Pelodiscus sinensis: one gene and its partners. The protein of the gene in region 1 purifies or fractionates together with the protein of each later gene. This does not show direct contact. Links are inferred from orthologs where the notes say so. Each region holds a gene or a part of one and is shown in the gene's direction. Other genes may lie near its edges.

Evidence for each region.
Region 2: the proteins of PFDN6 (region 1) and VBP1 purify together in Homo sapiens (affinity purification with mass spectrometry; 6 studies listed by BioGRID and IntAct, counting the BioPlex papers as one, with this or other methods). This does not show direct contact. The link is inferred for Pelodiscus sinensis from reciprocal best matches to the Homo sapiens genes PFDN6 and VBP1.
Region 3: the proteins of PFDN6 (region 1) and PFDN4 purify together in Homo sapiens (affinity purification with mass spectrometry; 6 studies listed by BioGRID and IntAct, counting the BioPlex papers as one, with this or other methods). This does not show direct contact. The link is inferred for Pelodiscus sinensis from reciprocal best matches to the Homo sapiens genes PFDN6 and PFDN4.

The regions. Positions count from the first base shown.
Region 1 is NW_027465970.1:69,678-72,882, reverse strand, and holds PFDN6 (prefoldin subunit 6), read left to right. Parts: upstream 1-946; 5' UTR 947-967; coding exon 968-1,085; intron 1,086-1,679; coding exon 1,680-1,750; intron 1,751-2,134; coding exon 2,135-2,259; intron 2,260-2,474; coding exon 2,475-2,595; 3' UTR 2,596-2,672; downstream 2,673-3,205. Other genes in the region: RGL2 (ral guanine nucleotide dissociation stimulator-like 2), read right to left, coding at 3,135-3,205. UniProt on the Homo sapiens protein: Binds specifically to cytosolic chaperonin (c-CPN) and transfers target proteins to it. Binds to nascent polypeptide chain and promotes folding in an environment in which there are many competing pathways for nonnative proteins.
Region 2 is NC_134723.1:29,342,031-29,345,776, reverse strand, and holds the start of VBP1 (prefoldin subunit 3), read left to right. Parts: upstream 1-1,053; 5' UTR 1,054-1,117; coding exon 1,118-1,210; intron 1,211-3,746. UniProt on the Homo sapiens protein: Binds specifically to cytosolic chaperonin (c-CPN) and transfers target proteins to it. Binds to nascent polypeptide chain and promotes folding in an environment in which there are many competing pathways for nonnative proteins.
Region 3 is NC_134728.1:16,428,324-16,432,069, reverse strand, and holds the start of PFDN4 (prefoldin subunit 4), read left to right. Parts: upstream 1-1,450; 5' UTR 1,451-1,544; coding exon 1,545-1,694; intron 1,695-2,575; coding exon 2,576-2,683; intron 2,684-3,746. UniProt on the Homo sapiens protein: Binds specifically to cytosolic chaperonin (c-CPN) and transfers target proteins to it. Binds to nascent polypeptide chain and promotes folding in an environment in which there are many competing pathways for nonnative proteins.

The DNA.
Region 1 (3,205 bases):
TTCATTTGCAATTGCGATATGTCTAATTTGCATCCCTTTTACAGAAAAGGGATGCAGTCTAGACACAGCCTAGGGGATTTCTACTGGATGCAGCCAGGTGAACTCTTTTATACAGTCATGCCCAAACTTGTTGCTGGGCAAGATACAGCAGCTACCGTGCTGGACTGAGAGCCGAGCATATTACAGTTACTTTTTCGTTTCCCGCCTAAACATGCTTATCCTGCCACCACTCGGTATTCCCCTTTGACTGCCTGCTTCCACACGTGCAACCGCGCTGTTCGTAAGCGTGGGTACGTTCGTAACTCGGGGACTGCCTTTACAACCGCTCCATGGGGGCTTTGTCGGTTGTAACTCGGGGAGCGGCTGTATTCAGTGCTCCGGGTCACTTTGGATTCTGACCCGCCCTCCGAAGCCCTTGCCACGCTCCCGGCGTGGGCTGAGACGCGTCCACACTGCGCCAGTCGCTAACAGGCTGGTGACGACGCTGAGCAGCCCCGGTCGCAGCACAGAGCCAGGGCCCCTTGTGCGCCCCCCGCGGGGCCGGGAACGGCTCCTCACGCGCCCCCGGCCCCACGTCCCTGGGCCCTGAGGGGCAGGGCCGGGGGGAGGTTTCACTGACGCGAGACGTCACCAGGGACCTCCCCATGGGGGCGCCTACCCCCCCCCCCCCGTGTGGGGAGCTATGGCGCCATGCTGCCCCTCCTCCGCCCTGACACCCCTCCCCCAATTTCAATTCCTGGGGAGGCCACTGGACGTCACCACGCTCGGGGTCACTGCCCCCCCCCAGGCCCGCCATCTTTGAGCGGGGCGGAAGTGGCTTCAGAAGCCGGTGGCGCCATCTTGGCACCGGGCGGAAGTAGGGGCATCGCCCCACCATATTGGAAAACGGCGGAAGTGGCCCCAAAGTCCCGCCTCTGTCGCGGCCCTTACGGCACGGGGCGGAAGTGCGGGCGGGACTACAAATCCCATGGGGCCCCGCGGCCCGGCGGCACTTCCGGGGCGGGGCGGGGCGGGGCGCGCGATGGCGGAGCTGGTGCAGAAGCGGCTGCAGGGCGAGCTGGAGAAATATCAGCAGCTGCAGAAAGGTGCCGGCCCCGCCCCCCCCGGACCCCCCCCCGCGCCCGCCCCCCCGCCGCGTAACCCCCCCCTCGGGCCCGCCCCCCCCGGGCCCCCCCCTCGCGCCCGCCCCCCCGCCGCGTAACCCCCCCGAGACCCCCCCCCCGCCGCGTAACCCCCCCCTCGGGCCCGCGCCCGCCCCCCCGCGCCTGCCCCCCCGCCGCGTAACCCCCCCCCTCGGGCCCCCCCCCGGACCGCCCCCGCCGCGTAACCCCCCCCGCGCCCCCCCCCCCGAGACCCCCCCTCGGGCCCCCCCGCCGCGTAACCCCCCCTCGGGCCCGCCCCCCCGGGACCCCCCCCGCGCCCGCCCCCCGGGACCCCCCCCCGCGCCCGCCCCCCCGTCGCGTAACCCCCCCCCTCGGGCCCGCCCCCCCCCCGGGACCCCTCCGCCGCGTAACCCCCCCCTCGGGCCCGCCCCTCCCCCTCCCGCGCCATCCCCCGCGACCTGCCCGCGGCTCCCCAGGGTCCGTCCCTGCCTCGGCCCCGCCCCCTGCCCCGGTGAGGGGGGGGGAGGAGCGGGGGGGCTCACTCCCAGCAGCTCACTCCCCCCCCCCCCCCCCCAGATCTCAGCAAGTGCCTGTCGGCCCGGCAGAAACTGGAGGCGCAACTGACAGAAAACAACATCGTCAAGGAGGTGAGACCCCCCCCGGCACCCCCCCGCCCCCCCTTCTCCCCCTGCCCCCCCGGCACCCCCCTGCCCCCCCTACCCCCCCGGTACCCCCAACCCCCCTTCTCCCCCTGCCCCCCCGGTACCCCCCTTCGCCCCCTGCCCCCCCCGCTAACCCGATACCCCCGCCTCCCCATTCCCCTGCTAACCCTTCACCCCGATACTCCCCTTCCTCTCCCTGCTCCCCCTCCCCTCCCTTGCCCCCACCTTCCCCTCCTGCCCCCAGTAACAACTGCTCGCCCCCAGTTTTTCACAGACTCCCAGCTCACTCTCCCCTTCCCCCTGTGGCAAGCCACCTCACCAAGGGTGTCTCCCGTCCCTCCATCTGCTCCCTGCCCCCCCCCCCCCCAGGAGCTGGGGCTGCTGGATGCCACCAACACGGTCTACAAGCTGATTGGCCCCGTCTTGGTGAAGCAGGACATGGAGGAGGCGAAAGCCACTGTCAGCAAGAGGCTGGACTACATTTCTGGGGAGATGTGAGTGGGGGTGTCCCGGGAGGGGTCCCAGCCCCCCCCCCGGGGGGAGGGGGAGTGGCACAGGCACAGAGGCCTTCCCTGCTAGGGGCCATTGGCCAAGCTCCACCCCAGGATGGCTCCTGCCCTGGGGCAAGCTCTGGGCCACACTGGCAGGCTGGGGGGGGGGGGGGCACTTTGGGCCCGGCTCACTCCCCCCTTCCCTCCCTCCCCCGCAGCAAGCGCTACGAGCTGCAGCTCCAGGAGAGCGAGAAGAAGGCGGAGGAGCAGCGGGAGGTGCTGGCCCGGCTGCAGCAGGAGTATCAGCGCGCCCAGGGCAAGGCGGTGCCCAAGGCCTGAGATGGCACTGGGGGGGGGGGGGGGGGGTATTTAAGGTTTTTCACTGTTGAGAATAAAAGAGGTGATGCACAAACTGATCCCACGTGGCCCCCACCTGGGTGTGCTCTGCCCTGCTATGGGTGTGGCCCCTCTGGGCCTGGGGGTTCCCTGGCAGGGCTGACCCCCTGGGCCCCCGAAGCACGGCTCACCACCAGCTGCTTAGTGTCTTTATTGCATTAGTGTTTCAGCAAAGGGCTAGGGCCCTGAGACACTCCCCCCGCCCGGGGTCTGGTGCTGGGACCCCTTGGGGACAAGTCCCTGAGACGCTGCCCTCTCCACAGGGGCACCCACAGCCCCCTGGGCCCAGCGGCGGTTAACCCCTTGGCCTCCCCCCGCGTCCTGCTGGGGGCTCACTGCCTGTGCAGCCAGCCCCCAGCTCTCCCTGCTGGGCGGCCGTAGGCAGAGGGGCTGTCAGGCACTCAGGTCATGGCCCGAGGCTGCGGCCAGTGGGCAGGGCCCTGCAGACCATCCCACAGCCCTTTCCTGGAGCGGGGCCGCCCTCAGAAGAGGGCCCGGGCCAGCTTGCGACCCGTCGCCTTGATCTTCGGGAAGGTGGCGCTGAGTTCGGGCC
Region 2 (3,746 bases), on another chromosome or scaffold:
TAGGAGACAGAGCATCAGTAAGTATCTGGAGAATGGGTACTTAAACCAAAGCAAATAAAAATCCAAGTCAATAGATAGATTCCCTTGTTAGAAAGGATACTACACAGAGAGCTGTTAGCTCCTTCAATGGTTGTTAAATTGGTAGGCTGTGTCTATACTAGAGCAATCTTGCTCTACACTGATCCTGTCTATACTGGCCGTGAATTCTTGCGCAAGTACACTGACGTTCTAATGTATGAAATCAGTGCTTCTTGCACGAGAACTCTGATGCTCCCGCTCAGGAATAAGCCCTCTTGCGCAACTCTTCTTGTGTAAGAGGCCAGTGCAGACCGGCAACATGAATTTCTTGCACAAGAAAGCCCTATGGTTAAAATGGCCATCAGAACTTTCTTGCGCAAGAGAACGTCTACAGTGGCATGGAAGCTCTAGTGCAAAAGCACATCTCTTGTGCAAATGCATATGCCAGTGTAGACACTCTCTTCTGGAAGAGTTCTTGCACAAGACCATGCCAGTGTAGACGTCAACGTAGTGTCCGGGGACTTTTATCTGCTTTTAAGTACCCATTCTCCAGATACTTACTGATGCTCTGTCTTCCAGCCCCCTCCCTTTTTCTCTCCCCCACCCCGCATTTATTTCCAGTGTACTCATCCCAAACTCATAACTCCGGTCATCTGAAGGAGTGGGCTGTGCCCAAGAGAGCTCATGATACCATCTACAGGTTTTGTTAGTCTGTAACTGCTACCAGACCATTTGTTGGTTTTTTCTATATACATATATCATCATGAGCTGTCATGAGCACAACCTCTCCTCAGTTTGTCACCGCCAAGGTCTCATCAGTGGCAAGCAAGATATTGTAACAAAGAGCTTCAATGTGTTAAGCAGAAATACTGCCCTGGGCGTGACTCAGCCCTGTACCATTTTTCCCCTGGGGGCAGCACAGCAGAGGCAGAGCAAGGGGGCAGCACTAGATCAGTATCCTCCCCTGTCCGTCAAAGCGCGGCAGCCAATGGCCGTGACGGAGCGGTGGGTGTGACGCTGACGCAGTGACGTACACTGCGCTCGGCGGCCGGAGGGCGGCTGCTCGGACGTACGCGCGCACGCCGTCAGTTTCCCCAAGATGGCGGCGGCCACCAGCGGCGAGATTTGTTGTGGCGAGGCGCCCGCGGGCGGAAAGCGGGGCCACCTGGGCATCCCCGAGGCGGTGTTCGTGGTGAGAGCCGCAGCCGGCGCCCCGCCGCGGGGGGAGGGGCGGCAGGCCGAGCCCGGGCGGCGGCGCCGGGTGGGAGCTGGGCCGGTTCCCGGCGCGGGGGTCCCAGAGAGCGGCGTGGAAAGGGGGCACCTGGCCCATCTCGGCCACGCCCCAGGGCCCGGCGGGGAAGGGCTCGCAGCCACCTGCGGCTTCTGATCCTCCTGCCCGCGCCGGGGCTGCCCCTTGACCCATCGCCCCCCCGGGTGAGCCGCGGCGCGGGCCCCGTTTCCAGGGGCAGGGAGGCCGGCCCGGCTGCTTAGTCTCTCAGGCCGAGGGGGGTTCGGGAAGGTCGCTCCTGCGGTAACCGGCCGGCCCTGGTGAGGCCGCGGGTCCTGCTCTCTCCCTCTGTGCCGAGGTCGAATTGCTGTGACTCCTGACCGCAGTCGTTGGGAGCGCCCGTGGGGGTGAGAGATGCAGTTCTGGGTTCAGCGCTGTGTCTGCCTGCTTCCAGGCTTGGATCCTGAGGAAGTGTTTGGTGGACATGAGTGTGTGTCCAGGGAGCGGGTTGGTATCTGAGGTTTCCTTTTGTGTAGTGTTTTAGGATCTTGTGTGATGATCCCTGGTTCGGTGTTTGTCTTCTACATTCAAAGCAGCAGTATTCAATATGAAGTGCTTTGTTTTTTCTTAAAGTGTTTTGATATCTCCAGAGTTTTTGAGGAAAACGAATGTCCCGTAGAGAGAAATTCTTTTGACTGTAAGGTGGGGAGCCAACTCTTTTCCTTTCAGAAAATTAAACAGCATCTCACATCTTTGAAATGGTGTGCTTTTTTTTTGTTCTATTGAATTTCCTTCAAAAGTTGGAGGAAAAATAAATCTGCACTATGATCAACTTACTTTGATTATAAAGTTTAGACTGAAAATTGATGACCAATGGCCATATGGTGTTTAAGTTAGATAGGCAATTGCCTTTGCAAGTTCTTTAGATTGTTGTTTAAAAAAAAGGAAAAGTGAATTTGAAAAACCTTAATAGAAAGACTGAATATTGTATAATATGAGGCTATAGGAAAAATTAATAAATTCATAATAATTTTAGGAACAAAGAATTTGCTTTAATGGCTCAGAGTAGCAGACTGTGACTCAGTGTCCAGTTTTCAAGAGTGGCTAATACTAAATGTTTCACAAAAAATTGCTAGAATCCTTGTATGATGGTTAGTGTTGTCTCCTGATGTGCTGACCATGATGCCTGCCTTCCTGCTCTCTGGGGTTCCCCACTACCCAATAATGCTGGGCCAGATTCTCTAGTCTCCTCTAGACAAGGTACAGAGTTGGGGTTACCGCCCCCTTTCGGAGCAGCACAGACAGTGAAGCAGTTCAGCTCTGGTAGGACTTGGCTCTGAGGACTCAGTATCCAGGAGAACAATCATTAAAGGGGACCAAAACCCCACATGAATCTGTTGTACTCTGTAGAAGTTTTACATAGTGAAGGCTCATAAAGGTCACCCACTATATCAATGAAAGAAGGAGATGCACAGTGGTTGCCCTCCATAGCAGTTATTTGCACTGGGATTGATAATAAATAAAAGTGTTTTTTATTAAGTACAAAAAGTAGGATTTAACTGGTTACAAATGAGAACAGTCTGATAAAAGTAAGTTACTAAATTACAATGAACAAAAAAGCTGTTTAAGGTAATGCAAATTCTTACCTTAACAGCTGTTCTCAGGTTAAAGCTTTGTCGGAGTTGATTTTTACTCTAGTTTGGGCCTACAGCTTTTCAGAGTTCCTTAAGTATCCTTTTAGGGTGGGCCAGACAATTTCAAAAGCGGGTTGAAGACAAAGTCTGATTGCTTAAATAGACTTTTCCCCAGGGTGACAATTCTTTCTTCAGTGCGTCCCACCACATGAAAAATTACCAGGTTCAAGATGGATCCCAGAACCTGGTCGCATGGTCATATGTTTTTCTAGGACCAGCTACAGTTTGGACTTAAAAGCCAAACATGACCATTCATGCTTTGAGTGCTGAGTCATTAAGTTTCTAGGTATTGTTACCACATTTAGAATGAACACATTTACTATTCATATTTCTAACTTCACATTCTTCTAATCATTTCCCTTATTCCTTGTATTTCTATTACGTATTATTTTACATGTGTGCAAAACTGATCACCATGGCCAGGATTTTCAAAGGTGACTTTGTCGGGGTGGGCAAAATATGGCCCACCAAACATTTCCCTCCAGCCCACTATGATCCTCTGGGATTCTAAAAATCCCAGGGCACAACACTCAGGTTGCCTGCCTGCCATAGCCCTGACCATGTTGCCCCGGGAAGTGGCCTGCTGCTGCTAGCATTTGCCACACCACTCTTTGGGTGGTGTGAGGCCACAATGGCATGCAAGTAGCCTGCCCGCTGCCCACCTAAGAGCTCTACTGTGCTGCCAGCTGGGAGCCACCTATGGCAAGGGCCTCCTGCCTAGGGTCACAGCATGCACCTCACACCCCATTCAGCACCCCAGCCCTCTGTTGCATCTCTGAACTTCTTCCTGGACTCAAACTGCCTCC
Region 3 (3,746 bases), on another chromosome or scaffold:
CACTTGAGGGAGACCTCACAGATATATCCACAGGATCTCTTGCAAATATCTGTGAAAGTGGGTAGCCCACCAAAGCTACTTTCCATCAACTGAATTATGGAAACCTTGGCTAGTTGTTAACTTGTTAAATGTATCATCAGCCATACACCTTGTTTTACCATGGCTCCAGGTGCTTGAATTTGGGGCCCAACTTTGCACTAACAGCAAACTGGTTGTCAGGAGTTCACTCCCCCGCAGCTGTGGTTATAAAACGTTATGATGACCTGATTTTTTCATAGCTGTGATATAAGCTAAATGAATAAACAAGCATGTGGAGGCAATTATGCAATGCAAATGCCAATTGCCCTTATTTCTATTTAGGAAAAACCATCCCCCTGTCTTAAACAAAGTATGTATTATTTAATCACAAGGTCCCTCTGGAAAGGAATTTGGAGTGGAAATTTTTTTTCTCTCCACCTCCAGTCATTTCCCTAGCATAACAGATGTCCCCAGGACAAGTCTGGTCATGTGGTTAAGGACTAAAGAAAGCTGGGACCAATTCCTGGCTTGAGCAAAGTTCCCATGTGACTTTAGCCAAGTTGCTTCATCCCTCTGTGCCTCAATGCCCCATCTGCAGTGGGGATAACACTTCACCTACGTCTAGACTGGCATGATTTTCCGCAAATGCTTTTAACGGAAAAGTTTTCTGTTAAAATCATTTGCGGAAAAGAGCATCTAGATTGGCACGGACGCTTTTCCACAAAAGCACTTTTTGCGGAAAAGTATCCATGTCAATCTACACGCGCTTTTGTGCAAAAAAAGCCCCAATCGCCATTTTCGCGATCGGGGCTTTTTTGCGCAAAACAAATCTGAGCTGTCTACACTGACTTTTGCCTGAACGGGAGCAGCATAGTATTTCCGCAAGAAGCACTGATTTCTTACATGAGATCGTCAGTGTTCTTGCGGAAATTCAAGTGGCCAGTGTAAACAGCTGACAAGTTTTTCCGCAAAAGCAGCTGCTTTTGCAGAAAAACTTGCCAGTCTAGACACAGCCTTCCTGAGCTCAGAGGAGCATGTGCCCCTCATATCCCTGTGGTGCTGAGCAATGGCAATAAGAAGAGGCCATTGGTGCCGGCTGCGTTTGCTCATTAATATTTATCTCCATGACTGATCCATATTAATGGCGTGTTCACTGGGATATGGGGGGGGGGCACTGGTTCCCCCAAGCCAAGGGAGTGCACTGGTGACTGCTCCCCCAAGTGGGGTAGGCGCTGTGGGGTTCCCTCAGGTACACTGTTGCCAGCTCCCCCTTCAGTCCCAGGGGAGGAGCGGGTTACTACTGTACAGCTCTCCCGCGCGGCCTTGGGCTCCCTCTTTCCATGTGCTAGCTCGTGGCGCCACCTAGCGGCAACTATCACGCTCGGCTTGCAGAGCCCCCTAATCGGTCGGAGGAAAAATATCCCACGGGCAGTGCCTTTAAGCAGGGAGTACCAACTGCGAGCGTAGGGGTGTGTTTGTCCTGTTTCCTATGTTATCTGACCCAAGGTCTTCTCATCCCGTCGGGAATGGGGCGAGCGCGCTACTCGGAGAGGGAAGCGCCGCCGCGGATGACCCGGAACCGAGCTGGGCCGGAGCGGGGGGCCGGACATTGGCACCCCTCCTCTGCAGATGGGAGAGTAATTCCGTCCAACATGGCTGCCACCATGAAGAAAGCGGTGAGTGGGGTGGCCGCGCCCTGGGTCCTCCCGGCTTGTGCCCGTTCCTAGGACCCGCTCTGCATTCCCCCCCCCCCCCCTAGGCTTTGGTTTCTCCTCCTCCACGCACGGGTACATGGAGCGGGGCGCTAATATTTTTTTTGGGGGGGGGGGGGGGGAGACTTGCTCTGTCCAGGCTGCGCCTTCCCCGCCGCGGGGAGCGCTGGGTTTCTAGCGCGGGGTGGAGTCAATGCCCCCCAAGGCATGGGGGGCACTGACCCCCCAGCTCTGGGCGCTCCCAGAGGTGCTTCGCTGGTGCCCTTTGGCGCTGCTTGTCTCGAGCCTACCCCCCCCCCCCCCCCCCCAGGAGAGGCAGCAGTGCGCATCTCCCCCCCCCCCCCCCCAGTCCCTGTGAACGGGCTTTCAGTTAATGCTGGCGCCGCAGTGCGGGTGCAGGGGTGTCACATTCCCGGCCCGCGGGCCATCGCGCAGGCTGACTCCCGAGTCCCAGCAGGCCCAGTCTGTCCTGTTCCCTGAGCCCCGACCCCCCTGCGCCCTGTCCCCGAGGACGCTGCTTTTGGGGATGGCTGTAGGAGTCGGGGGAAGCAGCCCGCGGTGGAGTGTGCTGTGACTCCTGCCCCAGGGCAGGCAGCGGGGATTGACGCTACTGCTGCCCTATACTAGCCCCCCTCCCCAACCTTGGTGATTCCCCAGAGCTATGTGAAATCACTTTTTTGCCAATAGAAGTTGTATGTAGAGTAGCAGCATCGATTAGCATAACTGTACTGGCAATCTTCTATCTATCCGTAGGTAAGAAACTATGAGAAATACAAAGTTTCCCACTTTTTACCTAATAGTTTAAAAAAAAAAATTCCCCCACTGTAACCCCTATTTCTGTCCAGGCTGCTGAAGATGTCAATGTTACTTTTGAAGATCAACAGAAAATTAACAAATTTGCAAGAAATACCAGCAGGATTACAGAGCTGAAAGAAGAAATAGAAGTTAAAAAGGTACCTTTGCTACCCACTCACATGGTATTAGGGCACTGAGCTCATCTTTTATGTAGCTCAGAATTGGGGTTCACATCCATAGTATGGGCTGGAGGATACTATAACTAGAAGAACTTTGGGTCTTCTTTTAGGTGTAGGAAGTAATCCTGCAAGAGGCACAAATGACCAATATTTATCTTGAGTATATTTCTTCTGCTTTTGCATACAATGCTTAGAATCCCTTAATCATTGTGTATGGGCAAAGTGTGTGCAGTATTAATCCAGGATTAGACCTTTTGCTAAACTTTCTGGGACAGACTCCCCACTTCGTTACTCTACAATTATGCTCATGCAACTCTGTTGAAATCCTAATCTTCAATTGATGAATTCATTTGAAATGACCCTGGTTATATTTACATAGCTCTGACTGTGGCCAGGTTTACATAGCTCTGACTGTGGCCAATGCCCAATGTTTCAGAGGGAATAAACAGACCAGGGCAATTGTGTGGTCTATCCCCAGTCAAAGTCCCAAGTTCTCAAAGTCAGACATTTTGGGACATCTAGAGCATGGGGTTATGTCCCTAATCAACTTGGCTAATAGCCATTGATCAACCTGTCCTATAGGGATGTTAAATGGTGTTTAATCAAGTAGTTGATGGAATTTCCATTGATTTAGTTAAGGGGAAAACGACAGAGCTGTAGCGGGGTTAGCTCTTCATTTAAAAGGCTGAAGCTCAGAGGTGGTGGGGGACCAAGCACGAGCCAGGAATCAGTTGTCCCAGCTCATGCCTGGTCCCCTCACCTGCTGGCTCTTAATACATTTAAAAAGCAGGATTGGGAATCAGCTGGCTTGTGCTTGCTTCCCCTGTGCCCCATGGAGATAGTGCTGGCAGGGAACTGGCTTTTAAGTCAGCTCCTGCTCCCCCCACCTTGCTGCCTCTCTGATGAGACAGCGGGGGGAGGAGGGGAAGCGACTAATTTAGTCACTGATGATCATGCTTATCGGATAGTTGACTAGTCGCTTGCATCCCTACTGTCCTACATGTAATTACCTAATTCTTTTTTAACCAAAGTTATACTTTTG